3 linked regions of the Drosophila melanogaster genome follow. The protein of the gene in region 3 interacts with the protein of the main gene of each other region in a pairwise test. Each region holds a gene or a part of one and is shown on either strand. Other genes may lie near its edges.

Region 1 (4,795 bases), on a different chromosome or scaffold from region 3:
ATTCACAAACGTCTTGGCCTCCAGGTCAATGTTGGCTGCTGCAGTTGCGCACTAAAATAAATGACAATCAATTAAAAGCAGCAAATTCACTTACAATATTATTGCTATTACAGGCTTAGTTTAGTCTAGGTCTTCTAAGTATCCTCAAACTATATAGAAACTGACACGCATCTAAATGAAACATATTTCAAACACGCAAAATTATGATTTAAAGTTATCTAAAGACCACATCTTTTTGTGGGATCTTTGTGGACCCATAGATTATTTAATCGGTACAGTGCTTACGCCAATGCCCGCTATCAGCACCAGAAGCAGCAGCAGGCCCATCTCCTCGGGAATCGGTTTCACTTTCGCACTCAACACCGGATCTGCTCGAACTGAGGTGCTCCGGCCGTGGAGCTGGCATTTAAAGCTTCTCCCGGGCGGCTGATAAGCCTAATCAGCGAGAGATTCTCGCCCGGAGGCCGAGCCACAATAATTGAGAACAAAAGTGGGATTGTGGAATGCCATGATGTCTTGTTTATTAAGCGGCTCAATAAAGATGCAATAGATTGCTAAGAGTTGTATATCTAGAAGTGGGCGAGGTCATGGAATCGGGTCAGGGCGAATCGGGAAAGCGAATCAGGTGCGGATCGTCTAGTTTGGGCGCTGCACGGTGCGGTTCTCGTGGCGGATGTTCACGTCCACGATGCTCATGTTGGGCGTGAGGAAGTTAACCAGGCGGTCGACTCCGCTGCGGGGCAACCTGTCGAAGGGGAATCCCATGGACTGGCGATCCGGGTAAAGACGGTCACGGACGCCACAGTAGGAAGCGGCATCGCTGCACCGACCCACCAATTGCTGGTCAATCTGGAGGTGGAGATAATTGTCAAAAATATCCTTGATTTACTAGCCAGCTAACATACCCTGTCGTTCTCATAGTTCGACACCATGATGAACAGCACGCACTGCAGTCCCTCGGGCAGACCCTTTGGCACCAGCATGTGGTTGGGCCAGCCGCAGCCGCAGAAGTTGAACTCCAGCTCCTCCGGAGTGCCGGCCGCCGGACGATTGGCATCCAGGTTGCGGAAGGTGCGCTCGAACGGAATGGTCACGCTCGACTCCGTGGAGCGGCGGCGGATGGTGTTGGGTCCCGGGTTCAGCGAAGTCACGAACTTGTCCAGCTCGATCATCATGGAGCGCTGATCTCGCATCAGCATGGGCTGGCCACGCTCGTCGTTCTTCGGCGCCATGAAGATGCGCACGTAGCCGAAACGCTGGGCACCACTATCGTTGTTCAAACTGATGGTATAGGTGAAGGGCAGATGCTGCAGGTGGGTGAACCTGGCGAAGACATTACCTCGCGGCAGGAAGTCGAAGCCACGGGACATGTCCACGTCCGACTGCTGCCAGAAGGTGGTCAGATTATTGGGACGACCTCCATTGGTGTCCACCTGGATGCCCGCGATCGAGACGCCCGGGTAGTTTAGTTGGTTCTCGGTATAGGCGGGCAGGCGCGACTTGTGCTCCTGGAAGATGCGGTCGATGTACGAGTGCCACTTGTAGAAGACCGGGTCGCGCATGGCCGTGGACACATCACCCATCACGCCAAAGGACTCCAGGTGCTTGCTGGTCGGATCGTGGGCGTACGAGATGAAGGTGTGTCCGTTGTTGTGCAGGTCACCATACTAGGGGAGCAATAGGATTAATCCCTAGAATAATTTACTAAGGGTAAGGACTTATTACCAGCACTCGGTTGGGCGACAGAATGGATGATTCAATCATGTTGCCGAGGGTATCAATGCCCGTCGCCTCATCCAATGGCACCCGGTTGCCACGCTCCTGAAAGGGAATATGGCATGTTATTTAGTTAATGGAAAACCCACCAACAACTCACATCCATGACAAATCCTTGGTGAATGGCCTCGTAGATGCGATCACGCCAACGCTCCAGATCTCCAATCTCCACATTCAGCTGGTCGGACTCCCGGTTGAGATCGCTCAACCTGGTGCTCTCGAAGCGCGGTGGCCACGCGCGGCTGGCTACCAGAGAGTCCATCTTGGGGAAGTAGCCCTCGGCAATGGGATCCCTCAGGTTGTTGAAGGGCAGAACCCTGGCCAGGTTGTTGCTGAACCGCTCCGCATTGTAGCGGGCGATCACCTGCTGGTGCATGTAGTAGAAGAGCTCGCCACGACGATCCTTGGCCACTATGCTGCGGTCGGAGGCCTCGAAGGGGTAGACCAGATGCCAATGCCAGTGGTGAAGGTTGATGCCCAGATCCTCGCGGAAGTACCACAGCCGGTGCTCGGGATCCAGATCGGAGGCGGTGTAGTCCCTGGGAATGGTGATGGGCATCCGGGAACCGGGCTGCACCACAAAAGACTCCTCCCGCATCTTGCGGATCACCTGCGAGTCGATGAAGCGGTCGGGGAAAGTCTGCGAGAAGGATGGCAGATCCAGGCCCTGGGTGTCCGGACGATGGAGCAGCGCCACCGACAAGGCGTAGTTGAAGAGCACCGGGTTGACCCGATCCCTGGCGTACACCGCCACGCTCTGCAGGTCGTCCACGGAGCGCATGTTCATGAATATATCGATCAGGCGGCCGGCGATCCTGCGGTGCTTGGGCAGGAACAGCGAGAACTGCTCGTCCCGGCCCAGGGACATGGGGATCCGCAGATCGGGAATGGAGATCTCCCGGACTGGAACGCGCTGCTCCACCTTGTCGCCGACGCGGCTCTGCACCTCGTTGCTGATGGGTCGGTAGCGGTCGGTCAGGAAGGAGTCGGGCACATCGAACACGGTCACCCTCTTGCCCTTGTCCATGAACACTGGCTCGGTGGGATGGTCGAAAAGCAGGAGGAGATTCTTCTTGTCGGCCATTTTCAATGGGATGTCAGGGAGGACCTGCTGGATCGCGGAGCAAACTAAATGGGGAATGTGACTGGAAGTCTGGGAACTTCACGACTGTGACTATTCACCGAAAGAACTGCACATTTTATACAAAACTTCGAAGGCACTAGTATCGGTTTTGAAAACCACAAGAACGCCTGAGAATTGAAATTGTCGACAAATTGCGGCGATAAGGATATAGTATGGAAACCGCAGTGTTGTTTTAGCATATTTCTAAAATGCAGTTTTATTATTTCAAGAGTATTTCATTTGGTTTTGCTTTAGCTTATCTATACATATATACTATTGGAATGAAATCGGATTTTGTTATCTCTGGGATATGCCTGCGTTGTAAATCAAAACTTCTCTACGCACACGATCCTCCGGTCAGATAGCATCACATCTAAACAATTTAATATAATAGTATGTATATATATGTAGCTACATGCATAATACGGCAATAATAGTTATTACAATTCGGCTATAATCGATCAATTCGTCCCTAATTCCCTACTACTGCTTTGATATACAATACATATATTTATTTAGCATAGCGCTAAAAAGAGAGATACAACGAGATATTTGGCGAGTGAAGAGATGAGCAATATCGTACGACAAGCGGATCTACATATATATAGCGTGTATATACAGGAAGTCTGTGGAAATTGTATGCTGCTGTTTCCGTTTCCGTTCTCGTATTCGTTGTGTAAAAGCGATAGGTTCAGTTGGTTAGTTGTTTAGATCTTGTAAAATGTATCTCAGAAAAGCCCTGGGCATGTCCCGTGTTCCTTGGCCATGATATGTAGTGTTTAAGCTCTTAGAATATAGAGTTGTGGGGTCTTCAGCTTGGTTCCGATCTCTCAGCCCGAAGAGAAAGTAAGAGGTGATGGCTTTTGTGTGAGTGTAAAGACTTTAATCACATCCAAAAATGCATACACATGTATTTACATAATATCGTGCAGTATAAACCAAGAGTTGTACAAAAATATATCTATGTTTCTGTATATATAAATATTCGATCGTGTTCGGTGTACATATGCAATTCAAAACAGAATTCAGTGCCGTTAACAACTCAAAACTGTTGTTCAAATCGATGTGTTGATGGGGATATATTGTAGTTTGATTTTAGTTCGGTTCAAGCGCATTTTTATCTACCCTTGTATACATATACATACATATAAAACTGGGGAATACGATCCGGTAACGTCGGGGCATACATAGTTACAAATAGTTCTCGGTACATACATATAATACTTGTTCGATTTCGTTTTCGATTTTGATTCACTTCTCAACTTGGGGAGTCGGTTGTCTCTAAGGATTGCATGTGTATATTGGTGCCCAAATAGTTTCAGACTACGCTAAAGCTACGGATAACATCTAGTTCTAGTTCGGTTTAGTTTGCCTTTGCTCGTTTCTTTCGATTCAATTCAATTCAAATCGCTTGCTCAACTTGATGGCTTCAAAGTACAGAGTACGGAGTACACACACACTTATATATCGAGGAACTTTCACTACTTTCAACAATATCGACATCAACAACGGGGATCCAACGAAATGTACACTTTAAACGACTATCCGGTGCAAATATACATGGGTTACTCGATCGGAGAGAATGCCTGGCCTTTGTACTGAGGTTCGCCCGTATCACACATCCGCTATCCGCTATCCACTAATCCAATTCAACACTGTGCCTACTACTTACTTACGCAGATACTTTGAACGTCTGGGACTCAGGTACAAGTTTCTTTCGATGCGACGTGGTGCAGCTGTATTAACCGAAGGTCAAATCAGAAGTTTCAACCCAAAAACCCAAACCATAAAAATGCGATCCCAACCCGCGCGCCCCACATCGTGGGCTGACTTCCGTTCCGTTAACTTAGTTCGAGGAGGTGGTGTTCTGAAACTCCTGCCGGCAGTAACCCATCA
Region 2 (3,747 bases), 2.3 Mb from region 3:
GTTGTTGTGATTTCTTTGTACATCCCCTGAAAACGATGAAGTTACTTGAGCCTCAGACGACCATTAGTCCTGAACCGGACATACTGCATCCGGACGACGGTCAATACATATGGCTGCCAATTTCCGTGCTCGTTGGCATTTTCGTTCTGGCTGCACTGGTGCGTTATCGCCACAGTCTGTTTGTTTAAGTGGATGTACATTTGTTTAATTTATGCATTTGGGTGTACACAGGTCTACGCCATGTCACGTAGTCGCTGTCGGAATTCCTGGGATTGCCTAAAGAGCAGGAAGGCTCCGCGAAGTGGATACATCAATGTGGATGAGGAGGATTCCGATGTGCCCATGGACTGCGGAGATGAACTGGGAGATCAAAGGACTACTGCTACTCTCCTCACTGGTCGCCTCCACATTCAGGATGTCAGTGAGCTCGTGACAATGTCCCAATACAATCACAGCCCTTTTTCTTCCACAGGGAGCGAATAACGCCTCCAATGCCTAGTGAATCTCAAAAGTCTTCCATACACTTTATTGTCCACGTTGTCTTCAAACGGTGGTTGTCATCGGTTTAGTTACTACTGCAAACTACGTGCCTCTACTACAAGTACAACGAAAATAACCCTAATTTTAATGATCCGTACTGGTGGCGCCAAGGATTCGCGTCGTCAGGTCGTAGAAGCCAAAGAAGAATGCACCGCCCAGTGTGATCCACAGCACACGCGGCACAAAGCCAGCAAACAGACTGAAAAGTAACATCGAAGTACATTAATAAATGTAATAAATAGTTTTGTAAAGTTAATTTGTGTTTAAATATTAGGACCAGCTTGAGTTGCGTCTAATATGGAAATAATTACCCGCTGAAGCCTCGCTCCAGGTAAATGCCATGCAAAATTCTTCGGGCACTGCGACGTCGGTTGAGACTCTCCCTTTCAGCCAGCATAATTCGGGTTTTGACCACATCGAGCGGCGTAGTTAATCCCGCTGAAATGCCTCCAGCGACAGCTCCACAAAGAGCCACCGAAAAAGGAGTGGAATCGAAGCCGGTCAGGGGAGTCCATTGCAGCTTAAAGTACTCCCAGAGCGGAAACTGTATCAGACTAAATGGAATCTCCCGCATGATAGTGGAACCAAATCCCCTGTACAGACCACGTTTCAATCCCTCAGTGCGATAGGCACGCAGTAGAATTTGCAGGCCGGACTGTTTGTTGCCCTGCAATGTTTGGGAGCGTTGCTTGGCAATCTCCACGGGAACTCGGATCAAGCATGCCAACTATTGGATACAGAGATTCTTCAGATCTAAATACGAGGTGCTCAGTTTTATATGAAATCCTACCACTTCTGCTGCTGAAGCCGCTGCCATGTGAACATAGGGTGAATCTTTGGTTTGGGTGACCGAACTAAGGAACTGCTTTCCGCACTCGTAGGTGCAGAAAAACAGGGCCGCCGTGGGAGCACTTCCTGCAGCCGCAGGAGCGAGTCCTTTGTAGATGCCCCTGAATCCTCCTGCCCGCCAAAAGCCCAGCTCGCTTTGCAGTCGGGTCTTCACTGTATCTATGGGAAACAGCGCTATGTCCACTACCATTCCAGCCACTCCTCCTGCCTAAAACTAATTATTTAAGAACTAACTTTTCATTTAATTTTCATCTACTTACAACAAGTGCATGGAAAAATTTTAATTTATTGACCGGCTCTTGCATTTTGATTGCCACGGACCCCGCGGCCGATTCCAGACCCAATTCCGCTGCCATGTCCTAGAAATGATGTTGGGGCATCCACTTTAAGTCATCCCGTCGGAGTATTAACTAAAGTTGTTTTAGTAAACAAAAACATAAAATGTGGTTGTTAACGTAACAGTCAGCTGCTTTTTGCTGATCTGGCAGGTCTGCAGATAACAGCTGCTTGGTGTAGAGTTGCCAAGATGCTGAAACCATAACAAATAAATATATTCTATGTAAGATATATATTATTTGGTCAAAAGTGTTACTTAAAAAAAGGATGGTATTGAAATGTTAGCTTTTTCACAAAAACACATAATTATAATACATTTTTTTTACACCAAAGTAATTATTTTAAAACCAATACCATTTACTTGACAACCCTGAAAAGCCGTGGTTCTGGGCAAGAGCCAGCAGCACCGTTTTGGCCAAGTGGAATAAAATTGGCTGTGATTTAACTGATAGTAGAATACCAACTGCAGCGGTAGAAAACAATAATCCAAGGATCAAATCATGGCCCTTCGCTTGACCCAGAGATTGCTGCAGACGCAGACGCCGTTCCTCACTCGCGTAAGTTTTCTCGGCCGGAAAATTGGCCCACAAAGGCAAATTACATAATGCGCGCCTGCCAGATCCTATTGATCGTACTTATCGATTCGAATTGTAGGGCTATCCCTTGCTGGTGACCAAGGAGAAGACCGAGGATGTGGCCCACACCAAATCGGCGCTGCAGAAGAAAGTCACGGTGAGTGCAACCTCTGGAGCTCACCCCCAATTGAGGTTATAGCATCCGTATATATCTTCGTGAACAGGGCACCGATATTCCCTCGGCACAGTACGGAGGTCGTCATGCCGTCACCATGCTGCCGGGCGGCGGCATTGGTCCTGAACTGATGGGCTATGTGCGCGAGATCTTCCGGTATTGCGGTGCACCCATCGATTTCGAGGTGATCGACATCGATCCCTCCACCGAGGGCAACGATGATCTGGACTATGCCATCACATCGATTAAGAGGAACGGAGTGGCACTCAAGGGCAACATCGAGACCAAGTCCCAATCCTTGACCGAAGTCTCCCGCAACGTGGCCATCCGTAACGAGCTGGATCTGTACGTCAATGTGGTGCACTGCAAGTCGTATCCGGGCATTCCGGCCCGCCATCACGACATTGACGTGGTGCTCATCCGCCAAAACACCGATGGCGAGTACGCCATGTTGGAACATGAGTCTGTGCCCGGAATTGTGGAGAGCATGAAAGTGGTGACCGTCGAGAATGCCGAGCGTGTGGCCCGCTACGCCTTTGAGTTCGCCCGCCAAAACAATCGCAAGAAGGTTACCACCATTCACAAGGCCAACATCATGAAGCTGTCCGATGGTCTCTTCCTGGAGGTTGCCAACCGTGTGCACAAGGACTATCCCGAACTGGAGCACAACAACATGATTATCGACAACACCTGCATGCAGTCCGTGTCGAATCCTCACCAGTTCGACGTGATGAACATGACCAATCTGTACGGCACCATCGTGTCCAATGTTCTTTGCGGTTTGATGGGCGGAGCTGGCCTCATATCCGGCAGGAACTACGGTGACCATGTAAGTCTCTTTCTCTTTTGCTTAACCCATAGTCTTTCAGTTTTGTCATATAATTTTAGTACGCCATCTTTGAGCCTGGCACCCGTAACACCGGAACCGCCATTGCCGGCAAGAATATCGCCAACCCTGTGGCCATGATCAGTGCCAGTATCGATATGTTGAACCATCTGGGCCACAAGGAGCACGCCAATGTCATTCAGGAGGCCGTCTACCAGACCATTGTCAACGATGCCATTCGCACGCCAGGTGATCACGTCTCTCGTAGTTATTCAATAAACAGAATCACCTTTATCATCTAAATCTCTTACAGATATTGGCGGCACCAACTCCAGTACCGATGTGGTTGAGAATATACTCAAGATCTTGAGTGCCAAGCGCGTGAATTGGTAAAATAATCGTCTGCATTTAGAGTAGTTCTATATGTTCTTTTATTTCGCTGTCAC
Region 3 (6,551 bases):
AAGGAAAAATTCAATAATTTGTAATCAAATTACAGCCGAAATCTTCAAACTGAGATGTTACAAAATATAAGGAACAGCAGATACAGCAGAAAACAGCTCCCAGAGAACTACGTCTCCCCCAGACCTACAATGCCCCATAATCTACACCCGGTACTATAACTAACCAGCCCCATGTAGAGAGCCGTAGCCTAGCTATGTCCATTGTCCTTGCTCCACGCACTCGACTGTTTCGATCTATCATCACACATTATCCTCGTCTCAGTGCTAGAGTTCCACATCCTTGAGTAGCAGACGCAGTTGAGTGCCGGGGATCAAGGCTAGTGGATCGCCCAAAATATACAATAATGCATCATATTATTACGTTCACTGTTATTTTTGTTTATATATATGCATAATATATATGGATATGCTGCACCGGCGACTATTAAACTGTAAGGTGTAGCGCTAAATTACAATTTTATTGTTAAAGAATTCAAACGAAAAAAAAACAAGCGGAAGCAAAACCATTGGCAAGCGAAATGGCCCATTAAACGGATGAAAGAAACGAAGACTTGTTTTATGTCAAATGCATTAACAACAATTGCCTTTTATTGTTTCCGATAACAGGTTATCCGTTGGCTAGAGAATGGAGTCCAGGCCCCGGCGACGAGAGCGCTGCGACAGGATTGGACGGGGCTTGTAGAGATCATCGTTGGTGTACCGCTGCTGCTGGCAGAGCTTCTTGCTGAGTCGCCTGGCGGACAGGGCGTCTGCTGATAAAAACAAGCACTTTAGTCACACGCATTCACGGGAATCGCTCGAAGCATCAACAATCGGCGGGCAAAGGACAGAGAATCGCGCGGGAACCGCTTACCCAGCTCCATTGCGGTTTGGTTAGGACTACTAGTGGTGGCTTCATACAGCTACATATTATGTATATTAGTTAACAATGCGGATGCGTGTGGGGGAGAAAATAGAGGCGGTAAAGAAGAATATTGAGGATGAGCATGAGAACAGAGATGTATGTATGTAGATCACATTCGCAGGGTGGATCGATTTGTGTTAATTATAGACTTTATTATCAATTTTTACTTGATTTTCACTAAACGTTAAGACATACGACAATTCAATTGCATCGATCCACCCTTTGTGAGAGTTAGCAAAAGAGAGATTCGAGGAACAAATGCTACACCAAATGAAACTTAGCAATGATACAGTACGCACCATGCTCCTGCTTCTCCAGTGCCTCGTTCTCCTTCGAGTTTATGCTGGCGTCAGATGGTGTTGGCGATGACTTGGGCTCGTCCTGTCGCAGTCTCTTTGCCGGACTGCCGGCGGTGCTGCTGCTGCTCGGACTTCTAGGCTGCGGCGGTGTCGTTTCCCGCTCCACTCGATGCTGCTCCTGCATGCTGCTCCGTCTTCGCTTGGAGAGGCTGCGTCGCAAGGCACGTATATCCACTGCCTCCTCCTGTGTTCCATCCTCACTTAACCTGTTAAGCAAATTCTTTCGATCCTCTATCAGTTGATTGATGAGCTGCAGACGCGTCCTAAACTCGTCTGTGTTTTCTTCGAAGTGGGTCACAAAGTCGGCACTAAATTCGTCGCTTTGCTCATTCGAGATTGGGACTGGTGTGGCGGGTTTGTCAGCATCTTGCGGTGGATCCTCCACATCGCCGACTTGAGCAGGTTCGTCGACGCACTCTTCGGGAGGATTTTCCGGTTTGCTCTCCTCTTCTGACTTATTCTCTTCGACATTGGTCTCTACCTTTTCGTCTTCCAATGTATCCATGCTTTCCTTGGCTGGCAAATCGGGAACGGAGTCAGCTAAAGTTTGAGGTTCTACAGTTGGCACTTCATTCTGCGAAGCACACTCGTCTTGCCTTGCCTCCAATTCTGTTTTTTCCGGCTGATTATCCGCCTCTTTTCCGTCTATATCTTCGGGTTCATGCTTACTGCTCTCCGCTCTGTCATGCGATTGGGATCCAGCGGTCAGTTCAACAAAACTGCTCGTCGATTGCTGCAGGATGTCGCTCACGATGACAACACCGCTGACATTGTCGCAAGCACCATTGGTGCTGCCGTTGGAGTTTCCATTCGTGCCGTTAGCATTCTCCACGGGCGCATCTGATTTCATTGTAGCTGCTGAATCCTCCGGCTGGGAGTTCTTGGCCGGACCACCAGAACTTGGAGGCTTCCCCTCGTCGTTTGAGTCGGAACCCCGACGCTGCTTATACTTTTCTTTGCTCTCGCTATGATCATCGTGGATAGCCTTGTTCTCTGCACTGCCAGAAGTGTTTGATTTGTTACGATCACGATCGCGGCCTCGGTCGTGATCTTTTCTCCTTGACGACGACGAGGAACTGCTACTGCTGTGGTGGCTGCGACTTTGGCTGTCCTTTTCCCTTTCCTTATCCTTCTCCTTGCCTTTATCTCGTTCCGATCGCGAGGATGATGAACTGGACTTGTGTTTTTTGTGTGAGGAAGATTCGTGGCGTGATGAAGAAGTGGTTCCCGAGCGCTTGGATGACGACGACTCTCGATTACTCCGGCTAGATGAACTTGAGGAGCTCTTATCGTTCTTGGAGCTACTACTCTTATGCTTCGAGCTGGAGGAGTTCGATGAGGAGTGCTTCGAGCTGGAACTCGAGGAATGCTTGCTGTGCGATTTGTCGCGACTACGATCGCGGTCCCGATCTGTGCTCCTTCGCCGGTGTTTGTCATCTGAGTGCCTGTGGTGTCGCCGATCCTTTTCCTTTTCCTTATCCCTAGACTTCGAATGGCTTTTTGATTGCGAGGACGTGGATGTTGGCGACTCCGTGGACTCAGACGCTGTGCTAACAGCGTCTTTTGGTGCATCCAATCCAAGCTCTAGGGGTTTATCTTGCTTGTCTTCAGTTGTTGCTGGTTGCTCATCTTCTTTGACATCCGTGTTTACATTGTGTGGTTTATCCCGAGTTTCCGACTCCTTGGGTGTCACGGCCAGCTCTGTGATGAATCCATTACTACCTTTCGCCCTTCGGGGCGTTATAGCTGCCTCAGCTTTTGGTGGGGCTGGCGGAGGAGGAAGCTCGACTTTCGGTGGTGCTGGAGGAGGAGGTGGTTCAAGTTCTGTGGGTGCCGGTGGAGGAGGTGGTTCAACTTCAGCTGGTGCCGGTGGAGGAGGTGGTTCAACTTTAGTTGGTGCTGGTGGTGGTGGTGGCGGCGGTTCAACTGTAGGTGGTGCTGGTGGTGGTGGTGGCGGTGGCTCAACTGTAGGTGGTGCTGGGGGTGGCGGTGGCTTAATTGTTGGTGGTGCTGGTGGTGGCGGTGGCACAAGTGTTGGTGGTGCTGGTGGTGGCGGTGGCTCAATTGTATGTGGTGGAGGTGGATCAAAACGAGGTGACGCTGGTGGTTGGGGCCCTGGCGGCGACTCAACTCCTGGTGGTGCCGGCGGAGGAGGCTCTACTTTTGGCGAGGCTGGCCGCGGAGGAGGAGGCGGATTAACTTTCGGCGGTGCTGGCACTTGTACAGGCTCCGGTGCTATAGACTCAATACTGGCATTGTTGGCGTCGTCTATGTTTGCCTTCACCTCCGACATGATCTCATCCTCGATGGAAAGAATTTGGAGGCCTGTGCTAGTCGTCTCCGACACCGAGTTCTTTCGCTCAGTACCTGCACGAAAAAGAAATCGTAGAAGTTAAATAACCCATCGTGGCGCCCGGCAAACCCACCTTCGAAGGTAATGGCATCCTGTTTGATGTCGAAGTGAAGCTGTCGACCTTCGCTTCGGCCTGTTCCCGCACTAGCATCCCAAGAGTTTTCGCTGAACTTTGGCATTTGCGCTTCCTCGCAAATGTTCTCTGGCTCCCCACTGTTGTGAGCTGCTGTGTGCTGGTGGCTATCAACCATGGACTCCGTGGACGACGCCATGGTCAGGCGGCTGTCACTGGAAACCTGCGAAAGTTGCGACGCCTGGGAGACGCCGTTCACCGAATCCGAGTTATTCAACGAAACGTTGTTCAGCTCCTCCTTGATGGCAAGTGTTTTCCGCTCGCTCACTAGCTCGTAGGATGGCGAAGTGTCCTCGTCGTCTACACCGGGCGGAAGTTCGTCATCCCTCGACTCCGACTTGACGGTAGCCCGATCGGAGTCTGGACTTATCTGCTCCAGGTCCGTGGGCAGCAGACCAACCGTGGTCTCCACATTGAGCAGGCTGCTGCCGTTCAAGTGGGCACCAAATGGCGGCAAAGGCGGAGCTGACAGCATAGTGGGTCGCGCAGGTGGTGTGATGCCCAGGTACTTGTAGACAATGCTCTCGATCTTTGGCTCGAATATGGTAGCCACCTTGGGATTGACCACCTGGTCCACGATTTGGTCCACTCCCTTGTCCAGGACATCGGAGCTGAAACAGTCGATGTGATTACCCCAGGTTACCCAAGCCCCGCCAGAAGCATACTCACTCCATAAGGTGCTTGCGCAGCCTCTCTCGCAGCTGGACCTTGTTGGTCTCGGGCGTCCATTGCTGCTTGGCCAGAAAATCGTTGACCGCCGTCTCCACCTGGGTGCGCACATTCTGGTAGGCGGGCTTCGTGTCCACGTCCGCCAGGCAGCAGTTGAATCGGAATTCGTCGAAGACGCCCTGCGACTTCACCTCGGCAATCAGTGTCTTGATAAAGTCGTCCATGCTCCTTGGCCCTTGTTATTCGTGTGCTTTTGCTTGCCGCAACACCCGTGAGTGCCGAGGAAATCCAGGATAAACGTCGAGTTTGTCTTTACATGCGTTTACATGTATGTACATATGTTTACGCTAGGGATGGCCGCCCCACGTGAGTTTCGCCCTGATTGGATCCGGGCGTCGTGCGTGAGCGGTAGCTATGCCAACTTCTCAGTTTTACTAGCCAAATTTGACGAATTGCAGATACAGATACATTTTTACTTTTGAGTTATGAATGAAAGAATAATAAAGTATAGAAATATTTGTGCCACCGAGTTTTTACCTTTAAAGCCAAGTTGCATTTAATCAGCTATACATTAAGAACTTAAATGTTCATATTAATGTAAAATTCAGGTATTCACGTTGTTTTCGGTAAGGTGAAAGAATTGAGTTAAAGTTAAAATATTTAGTTTTGGAAAACAACAATACATGGCAGTATCTGTTAACTCCGAATAACTATTATAAAAACAATCTGTAACGAAGTCCCCTGGCCAGTGTAGTACCTCAGTCGTGGCTAAGGAACCTTTTCAAAAAATTTATATAGAAGGTTTAGAAACCTGTAGTTAGAAATTTGTATTGGATGACGTGCCTGAGAGCGAATAAAAGAACACCCCGCGGCGCTTATGATTTAGTTCAAAAATTATTATAAAAATTATTATTAATTATATAACTATACTATAAGTAAAAGAAAACACTTCGCCTCACTGTGCATTACGGTGCGAATCTTGGCTAAGTATAATCGATAGGAATGTGTGACGCCTATCTTTCAGCGATCGTATCGATGGATCGATAGCTACCGCGATGCCCACGGTTGCAGTCGAAGTTTTGGCGCAAGCGAAGCCTCTGTGTTCTTAGAAATTGTCGAATTAACGGTAGTGTTTAATTGACGAGAGCGCGATTAAACTGGACCGCAGAATGAAGCTGAGCACGGACGCGCACTCCGAGATCGAGGGCGACGCTGCCCACGGCAATGTGCTGTGCAACTCCGCGTCCGATTCCCTGACCGCCACCGACGAAGTGGCTGCGGGCAACGACGAGTCGGTGGCCACCGAAGGCGATGATGTCGAAATTCCGAGGGACACCAACAACAGCACTCCGGTTCGACTGCTGGACAAGCCCGGCCAAAACCCGGTGCAGAACGGCGCACAGCCCGCGGCGGAGGAGTCGGAGCTGGAGAGTCAGCGGCAGACGCCAGTCCAAAAACAGCAACAACAGCGTGTGTCCATGGTGAACAGTAAGTGTAACAATGGCGCAATATACCCCGCCGTATGCCGTCCATATGCTAATATATCTGCTTTTGTGTGTGCGCCTGTGTGTGCTGCTTTAGGGAAACGAGATCTTATCAACTTGCAGTCGGCGCTGAGCCCCAAATATATTGGCTATGCCAATGCCAACTCACCCACGCCGCTTTCCGATTCCGATGACACAATACGCACGACGAGGCGACGCGTTAACCAAGCGGCGGCTTTAAATAACAGCAGTGCTGGCGAGACCCTGGCCCATGATAATGCGTCACCAAGGACCCCCGGGGGAGGAGGAGGAGGTGGTGGAGATGATAGCGCTAATCAGCTGCTCAGCAAGACCTACATGAGCCCCATCGAGAAGCTGCTAATCAAAAACGGCGCTAGTTCGCCCAACAGCACCGGTTTCGAGGCGGGCTCCGAGGACCTGGGCATACGGCCAATCGTTCGCAAGCACGTAAAGCGCAAAATGAAAAGAGTGCCGAAGGCGAAAGTAACCCTCGAACTGGACGAAAAAAACCAGCAAGAGGTTGACGAAAAGTCAGTAAAAACGGAGCCAATAGATGAGGAAGTTGACCGGACAGATGAAGCCCCAACTCAAGAGGCTCAAACTACCGCGATCTCCATTAAATCAGAGA

The links. Proteins that work in one complex are often made in the same cells at the same time.
Region 1: the proteins of BOD1 (region 3) and PPO2 interact in a two-hybrid assay, tested with the Drosophila melanogaster proteins (one large-scale study listed by BioGRID).
Region 2: the proteins of BOD1 (region 3) and CG4743 interact in a two-hybrid assay, tested with the Drosophila melanogaster proteins (one large-scale study listed by BioGRID).

The regions. Positions count from the first base shown.
Region 1 is NT_033778.4:9,041,761-9,046,555, forward strand, and holds PPO2 (prophenoloxidase 2), read right to left. Parts: upstream 2,950-4,795; 5' UTR 2,861-2,949; coding exon 1,877-2,860; intron 1,822-1,876; coding exon 1,726-1,821; intron 1,668-1,725; coding exon 906-1,667; intron 850-905; coding exon 637-849; 3' UTR 501-636; downstream 1-500. Other genes in the region: Ance-4, read right to left, coding at 1-51, 286-327; CG13743 (uncharacterized protein), read right to left, coding at 4,746-4,795. UniProt on the Drosophila melanogaster protein: This is a copper-containing oxidase that functions in the formation of pigments such as melanins and other polyphenolic compounds.
Region 2 is NT_033777.3:25,678,742-25,682,488, forward strand, and holds CG4743 (uncharacterized protein), read right to left. Parts: upstream 1,810-3,747; 5' UTR 1,746-1,809; coding exon 1,650-1,745; intron 1,598-1,649; coding exon 1,331-1,597; intron 1,268-1,330; coding exon 852-1,267; intron 789-851; exon of another isoform or gene 740-788; coding exon 625-739; 3' UTR 501-624; downstream 1-500. Other genes in the region: CG5039 (uncharacterized protein), read left to right, coding at 36-158, 232-417, 473-499; Idh3g (isocitrate dehydrogenase (NAD(+)) 3 non-catalytic subunit gamma), read left to right, coding at 2,226-2,282, 2,380-2,457, 2,525-3,304, 3,364-3,550, 3,615-3,690. UniProt on the Drosophila melanogaster protein: Mitochondrial solute carriers shuttle metabolites, nucleotides, and cofactors through the mitochondrial inner membrane. May mediate the transport of S-adenosylmethionine (SAM) into the mitochondria.
Region 3 is NT_033777.3:27,936,786-27,943,336, reverse strand, and holds BOD1 (biorientation defective 1), read right to left. Parts: upstream 4,776-6,551; 5' UTR 4,643-4,775; coding exon 4,419-4,642; intron 4,361-4,418; coding exon 3,690-4,360; intron 3,631-3,689; coding exon 1,204-3,630; intron 903-1,203; coding exon of another isoform or gene 895-902; exon of another isoform or gene 753-894; coding exon 619-752; 3' UTR 559-618; downstream 1-558. Other genes in the region: NSD (nuclear receptor binding SET domain protein), read left to right, coding at 5,588-5,906, 6,000-6,551.